2 linked regions of the Cricetulus griseus genome follow. The protein of the gene in region 1 interacts with the protein of each later gene in a biochemical or structural test. Links are inferred from orthologs where the notes say so. Each region holds a gene or a part of one and is shown in the gene's direction. Other genes may lie near its edges.

Region 1 (3,819 bases):
AGGTTTTAAAGGTGAAGTCTATCTTCCTTTGGAATGGACCCATCATTATGTATCAGATATTCTCTCTGTCTCTTCCTCTGTCTGTCTCTCTCTGTCTCTCTGTTGAAATCTGAGAGACCAATGCAGGGAATGCAACACGGACATTCATGAACTTGACAAGTGTGGTTCTGACTTTAAACACATTACTTCATTTGGCAGAATATGTTATATTTTGGCTGATCAGTGGTTCTTTGAGTAAGGTACCCGATATAATATAATAATGGGTGGTATTATATTCTTTTCCTGTTTTTAAACAATAAAGTGTTTTTATTTTTGACTACTACTATTTCCACCGATATTCAGGCATCCAAAAACACTAAAAGGATATCAGGGCTAGCACAGGGAACCTGAGAGGATTTGGTTTCAGGACCTTAAAAGTTGTAATTTTTTTTTTTTTTTTTTGTACATAAGTAGAATTTGTTGAAAACTAAAATGATAAATGCCTCTGCCTGAGGTTTGGGTTGGGCAGAATTAGAGGAGAGGTCAAGAATGATTTTAGTGTTTGCACATGTGTGCAGCACACACGCATGCATGCACGCACACACACACACCACACCCACACATGCTTTGCTTGTTGCAGATCAGGGAAAATGGCTGTCCTCATGTCTGTGTTAGCTGCTCTTTTGAGTATACCAACCCTGTTCCTTAATTGGCATTCCATCGGAGGCAGATGGGAGCCTTGTCTTTCAAGGAGAAGCGATATAATGACTTTTCTATTGCCATTGACCTCTTTTTCCCAGAGTATTAATTTGAAGAAGGGGCCAAGGAAGGCTGATGACTTTTCATATCTTCACAAACTAGATTTTTATTAAAAGAATCCCTCTCCAAAATGTCTGCAGCTGGGAAGACTCTGGTTTATGTTTCTGTAACATCTGTTTGCTGAGTCAACCTGAATAGGAAATCCCAGAGGAAGGCCATTTGGCGTCTTTTCAAAGTCTTGTATAAATATTCTGCTGCAGCTCATTTCTCTTTAAGGTTAGAATGCCTGGGTTAAGTGTAGTTTAAGCCAAACGCAGATTGTGTCTCAGTCATCTGTTCCCACTTTTACTTCCCACTTGGCTTCATGCTGCTGGGGAGAAGTAGTGCCTTTTCATGATAGTGGCCAGGTGTGTCTGTGTGTGTTCTGCCACCAAAGCTGATTTCACACGTTTCTTGTAATTGAGGTTAGTTATAAAGGTAGAGATTAATCTTAGTGCATATGTTTTAGGTGGTTGGAATTGGGGGTGGTGAAGGGGCTGGATTTTTTTAGTAAAGGATTAAATTGTGGCTGGCACTGAGTTGTATCTCAAATACTGAAACGATGAGGGGGAATCCAGCTCCAGTCTCTCTCAACTCTCTGTGGTTATGTGATGCAGGGTCTGTTGAATGAGTTTAATTAAGCTTTTCAGCTGTCCTGGAGCACAAGATCCTTGGTTGTCTGTGCAGCCCTGGCATGCCCCAGGGATCCCTTGGCCTCACACAATAAGTTGCTTTTAAGGGACTGGCTTCAGCCTCTGAGAGGTACCTCTTTCTAGGGATTTGCTCAGTGAGATCAGACGGGAGAAGTTAATCACTTTGCTCCTGCTGGCCAGAGGCTTGTGTCTGGATCAAAGACACTAAATTGTAGCCTTGTGCAGGCGGGGAGGGAGCAGGGTGTTCAGTGCATCTTGATGAGGCCTGGCCGCCGTGCTGACTTCCCTGGGGCCCACAGGAAGGGAGCCTCTGATGCAATGGTGATTCTACACTAGCAGGGAGGCCTTTCTCCATCCTCCCTTATTCTGCCTTCCTCTGGTGTGATCCTGGATGCTGCTTCCAGGAAGTCTGCTTGTATTTACCTGCCTGAGTTGGGACCTTTTCCAGCTAGGGGTTGTACTGAGGATTCAGTCTTTTTTAAAACCTACCAGGAATGTGTATGCTGAGGAGATTGCTGTTCACATTTTTTATAAAACTATGTGAGCACAAATCTTTGAGAAACTAGATTAATGCCTCAGAGTATACTCTGTACATGGAGTGCATGTCTTGAGGGTTGTGCCATCCTCATCTACAGGGCCAGTTAGTTGTATGCTGGCCCCCCCACCCCCCAGATTGTAGTGCCGTGACTGTTTGAAGCAAGCTATAGTTTGGGCTGTTTGCATTGTTCCCCGATATCTCTGACCTTCCCTTCCCTTTTCATCCTTGTCTAGCTTTCCTGTCTCAGTGAGTGTGCCTTTGTCGTCATGTGGGGTGGCCAGCACTAGGGACTCTGGTTGCTACTGCTCCATAATGGTCTCCGTGTGTTCTTTGCAGTGCTCTGTGAAGAACTGCCGGACAGCCTTCCACGTGACCTGTGCTTTTGACCGTGGCCTAGAGATGAAGACCATTTTGGCAGAGAATGATGAAGTCAAGTTCAAGTCCTACTGCCCAAAGCACAGCTCACACAGGAAACCCGAGGAGAGCCTGGGTGAGGGGGCTGCACAGGAGAATGGGGCCCCCAAGTGTTCTCCTGGGAGCCCTCTGGAGCCCTTTGCCAGTTTGGAGCAGAATAGAGAAGAGGCCCACCGGGTGAGTGTTCGCAAGCAGAAGCTACAGCAGCTGGAGGATGAGTTCTACACCTTCGTCAACCTGCTGGATGTGGCCAGGGCCTTGCGACTGCCTGAGGAAGTAGTGGATTTCCTGTACCAGTACTGGAAGTTGAAGAGGAAGGTCAACTTCAATAAGCCCCTCATCACCCCAAAGAAAGATGAAGAGGACAATCTAGCCAAGCGGGAGCAGGATGTCTTGTTTAGGAGGCTGCAGCTGTTCACGCACCTGCGGCAGGACCTGGAGAGGGTAATGATTGACACTGACACCTTATAATGACTTAGAGAAGAAGATGTAAAGAGGCGAGCACTTGCCCAGAGCAAGAGATGATAGCCAGTCGTTACTCTCAGATTCTTGTACACACTACAGCATGGGGTTGTGTTGGTTAAATATATTTATGGGCTGGTAAATTCACTGCAGTGTGCAAGACTGCTAGTGTGGGAGCTGCTTTGTGATTATTTTTCTTTACATACTTTCCCATTAATCTTTACTGTTCTGCAAGATCAGATGGGGCATACCTCCATCCCCTGCTCGCTCCCATCATTGTAAAGCTGGAGGGAATTGAGCACCAGGAACACAACCAAAGGGTTGACTCAGCATTGTTTACAGTCTGATTTTGAGAACTGGGATGTATCTGACTAATGGGGGAGAGGGCAGCAGTAGGGGAATTTCTTGTTCAACCTGGGGAGACATTTCCTAGGGGCTGATGGAGGACCCATCAGACAGAGCTAAGCACTGCCTCCCAATGGCCCATCTTTGCTTCTAGGCTAATTCACGGGCATTCCCAGCTCTGTTGCCGAGCAGAGCAGGCTATGGGTGCTGATAATGTGTGCATGAATTTAGACACACACCTGCTACAGAAGACACTTGGTAGTGAGGTGCTAAGTCATCACAGAGGTTGTGTACATGCAGTGTGTGTGCTTGTGTGTGCTCGGGTATCCCTGTCTTTTGTGTGTGTGTGTGTGTGTGTGTGTGTGTGTGTGTGTGTGTGTGTGTGTGTGTGTGTGTGTGTGTGATTCCTGGTGCACAGGGGCATTGGGTCTGTCTGGAATCCTTAGCAGTCTCAGTACACTACATACATATACACAGACATGTGTTTATCATACTACTGGGTTGCTGATGAAGTGGCTGGCTGCCTGGAGCCTCAGCTGCTGGCACTTCCCTCAGCTGTTTGCTGCTTGGTGCCTCCCCCACTCTCCTTTACCTCTGGAGTCCTAGTCTGAACCTCTCTCTTCCTGCTGC
Region 2 (3,819 bases), on another chromosome or scaffold:
TGACTTCAGTTCCAGGGGATTTGACAACCTCCCTTGACCTCTAAGGGCTTGTATGCTATACACAGACATGTAGGCAAAACTGTCATAGAATAAAATCTAATTTTAAAATAAACTGTTTTTGACTACCTATAAGTCTTTATTATAAATTCCTTTCCCAGCACTTATAACATTCATGTGGAGAAACTTCAAGGACAGTTGGATAAGAAAATAATTTGTATTTTTTCTGCTTAAATTCTTTTGGGATTAGAGTTATAGATCATTACATGTTTATTTAGTGAGTTTTTTTAAAAGATCTTTTTGCTTGTATAATGTATGTATGTGATACATGTGTGTATACAGATTTACCACAAATATGTAGGTAGGTAACTGCAGAGGCCAGAGGAGCTTGTTGAAGCTCCTATAACTGGAGTTACAGGCAGTTGTGAGTCACTGTGTGTGTGTTGGGAATCGAACCCAGGTCCTCTGCAAGAGCAACACATGCTCTTGACCAGTGAACCATCTCTTCTGCCCCAAGACCATATTTTGAAATGATGTATTTTTGAGTGTTTTTTGAGTCAGGGTCTCTTGTAGCTCTAGGTGTCCTGTAACTCATGTAGACCAGGCTGGCCTACATCTCACATAAATCTTCCTACTTCTGCTGGGATTAAAGGCATGTGCCCAGCTAGTGTGATTTTTGTTGATGGAGAGTTTGAATAAAATTTACCCTGAAGTTAAAAGGGGCCCTGCATTAACATTTTATATACTATCTTGGACTTTTCTTTTTTAAAAAAGATTTGGTTATATTGTCCTAACTCTGTGTATGAATGTATAAGTACAGGTGCCCCAGGAGGCGGGAAGCATTGCTTCCCCTGGAGCTGGGGTTACAGGCAGTTGTGAGCCACCATGTAGGTGCTGGGACTTGAAGTCAGGTACTCTGTCTGAGTTGTATATGCTCATAGCCACTGGGCCGTCTCTGCTTTGTCTTTTTCTTTCTTTTTTTCTGACATAGCTTTGCTAGCAAGACCATTTTGATTTGGGTGTTTTGTTGTTGGGTTAGATGCTTTTATTTTCAATGTGTTAATCTCTTATGAGAGTTCTAATGATTAGTCTGAATTGTTTCAGAATTAGGGATAATACAGTAAGAATTACTTCTCTTTCCAAAGTTAATTTGTATGTTATCCCACCAAAGTGTCTGAAATGAAGGATAGTTCCTCTGAACAGGGAGGGAAATTGTGGTGGATCCTTTCTTACACTGGAACTTGATGCTTCGGCATCACGGTTCATTTTACTTCCAATGCTAATAGAAACCCGCAGTAAATGCTTCCATGCTAATGTCTGGATCTGTGGTATTACAGAGAAATGCAGGCAGTAGTTCAGATGGAACCGAAGATTCCGATTTTTCTACAGATCTCGAGCACACAGACAGTTCAGAGAGTGATGGCACATCTCGACGATCTGCCCGAGTCACCCGCTCTTCAGCCAGGTTAAGCCAGAGTTCTCAAGGTAAAAGTCTTTTTATTTATTTATTTATTTTTTCTCACTGTTCCTCACAGTGGACAGATTGATACCATTTTTTTAAAAAAGATTTTATTTATTTATTATGTATACAACATTCTGCTTCCATGTATATCTGCACACCAGAAGAGAGCACCAGATCTCATAACAGATGGTTGCGAGCCACCATGTGGTTGCTGGGAATTGAACTCAGGACCTCTGGAAGAGCAGCCAGTGCTCTTAACCTCTGAGCCATCTCTCCAGCCCCAGATTGATACCATTTTATTGTGCTGGTTCATAGGGAGAATGGTCTTTTGGCTTTGTGTAGATGATAGAATGTGTCAATGTGTAAGGCAAATGCAAAAATACCTGGTTTTCAGAATGACTTCTGTCAGATACCACGTCCTGTTTATAGGTTGTGGCTTGCATAAATGTGAGACATAGATGTCTTGAGTCTTTTTTTTTTTTTTTTTTTTTTTTTAAGATTTTATGGTGCTGTCGGTCATCATAAAATTGGTAAAATGGGACTGTTATTTCATCACTTTGTAAAATGACTTAGGGACCTAAATGCCTATTGAATGTATTAGTGAGGCTTATTGCTTCTAAAAGCACATTTAATTATAGAATGTAGAGTCACATTTGATAGATATTAAAGTGTACGGATAAATACCCAGAATTTTGCTGTGGTAGTGAAAAAAACAAAAGGCTTGTGTTTGAAGGTAGGTGGAAGACTCTCTAGTGTACTTAGCCATTTGGGGTTATTTGGTAGGTAGCCTTTTGCCTCTCATAGTTCTGTTTGGTATGGAAGAAAGGTTTTAGCTAATACACAATCTTCAGAGATAGAGTAAATAGAAAAATTACAATATGGGGCTAGGTGTGGTGCATGCCTTGAATCCCAGCACTTTGGAAACAGAGGAGTGCAGATTTCTGAATTCAAGGTCAGTCTAGTCTATATAAAGAGTTCAAAGCTAGGCAGAGATTCATACCAAGACTCTAGCTTTCCCCTCCCCCCCAAAACCCCAAAAATATATTTATGTATATATTACCTGTCTATGATAGGTGTATGGGTGGGTGGGTGTGCACAAATGTGCATGCACAGATAAATGTGATTTGTTAAGGATACTGTGGAAACCCAGAGGTAGGGCAACCATATTGTTGTCTGGCATGAGTCTAGTAGAATTTTACAAATTGAAAGATGAGAAAAATGTTTTAGGCAGAAAGAACCATATATGCAAAGAATCCTGAGAGTTCTAGAAACTGTAATTAGCTATGTCCTAAAAGTTATGGTATTCAAAACAGCTAGACACATGAGCTTGGGGGGGGGGGCACAGGCACTGTTACATTATTTCCTGGCCATGCTGCTGCACAACTCTTGAGCATCAGCCACAGGATAAGAGCACCCTCCCTAATGTGAAATATAGACAGCCTTGTGAAAAGAGCCCCTGGAAGTATATAGACTTGGGGACCTGGCTCTGTACTAACTCAGTCTCTCCTGACAGCTTGAGAATTTCAACTCATACTTCACACATTGTCATAGGATGTTGTTTAAAATATTCTTCAGTTTCAGCTTTGAATCTATTTCCTTATTGGAGATGTGAAAGGTTTATGAAGGCTTCAGAGTAGATTTCTCTATGGGAAGAACATAAGGGGCTGGCTGAGTGATGGCTCAGTAGTTAAGATACTGAGTTGCTCTTTCAGAGGACCTGGGTTCAACTCCCAGCACCCATGTGGTGGCTCATGTCGTTAGTTAACTCCAGGGAATCCAATGCCCTTTTCTTTTCATACACATAAAAATAAAACTTAAAAGACAAAACAAAAACCCAAACTTAAATTTCATTTGTGTGTTTTGAGCCAGTTTATCCTTAGGTAGCCCAGGCTGACCTGTAAATTACTATCATTCTGCCTCAGACTCTGAAGTACTAGGAATACTTATGTCACTAGGTCTGTCTTAAAAATTTTTGTACATTTAGAATCGATTATGACTTCAAATAAGAATACAAGGGTAATCAGAAAGAATAAGTAATTCCCCCCCATACAGTATTTATGTATTATTCTGTTAGTTTTAGGATATCTGTATTGTGATGGACTGTAGCAAGGGAATAGGTGGTATAGTTAATACTGTTAAAGAACTCTCCTCACAATGAGCTTGAGGAGTGTGTTGCTAGTGTTTCTTTCTCTCTTTCCCAAATTAAAGTAAGTATTTTTCTTTTTAATGGATAAAGAAGCAAGCTTGGAGACATTAACTTGCCCAAGATGCCACATATGGTTGCTATGTGGAGGGGAACTGAATGGAGTTCAGTTTTCACTACAGAGCCTAAATTCTCATGCTCTGTTACTATATTGTTA

What was found.
Region 2: the proteins of Jade1 (region 1) and Kat7 form a complex in vitro, tested with the Homo sapiens proteins (2 studies listed by BioGRID). The link is inferred for Cricetulus griseus from reciprocal best matches to the Homo sapiens genes JADE1 and KAT7.

The regions. Positions count from the first base shown.
Region 1 is NW_023276806.1:108,454,243-108,458,061, reverse strand, and holds part of Jade1 (protein Jade-1), read left to right. Parts: intron 1-2,304; coding exon 2,305-2,826; intron 2,827-3,819.
Region 2 is NC_048600.1:108,482,336-108,486,154, reverse strand, and holds part of Kat7 (histone acetyltransferase KAT7), read left to right. Parts: intron 1-1,334; coding exon 1,335-1,482; intron 1,483-3,819. UniProt on the Homo sapiens protein: Catalytic subunit of histone acetyltransferase HBO1 complexes, which specifically mediate acetylation of histone H3 at 'Lys-14' (H3K14ac), thereby regulating various processes, such as gene transcription, protein ubiquitination, immune regulation, stem cell pluripotent and self-renewal maintenance and embryonic development.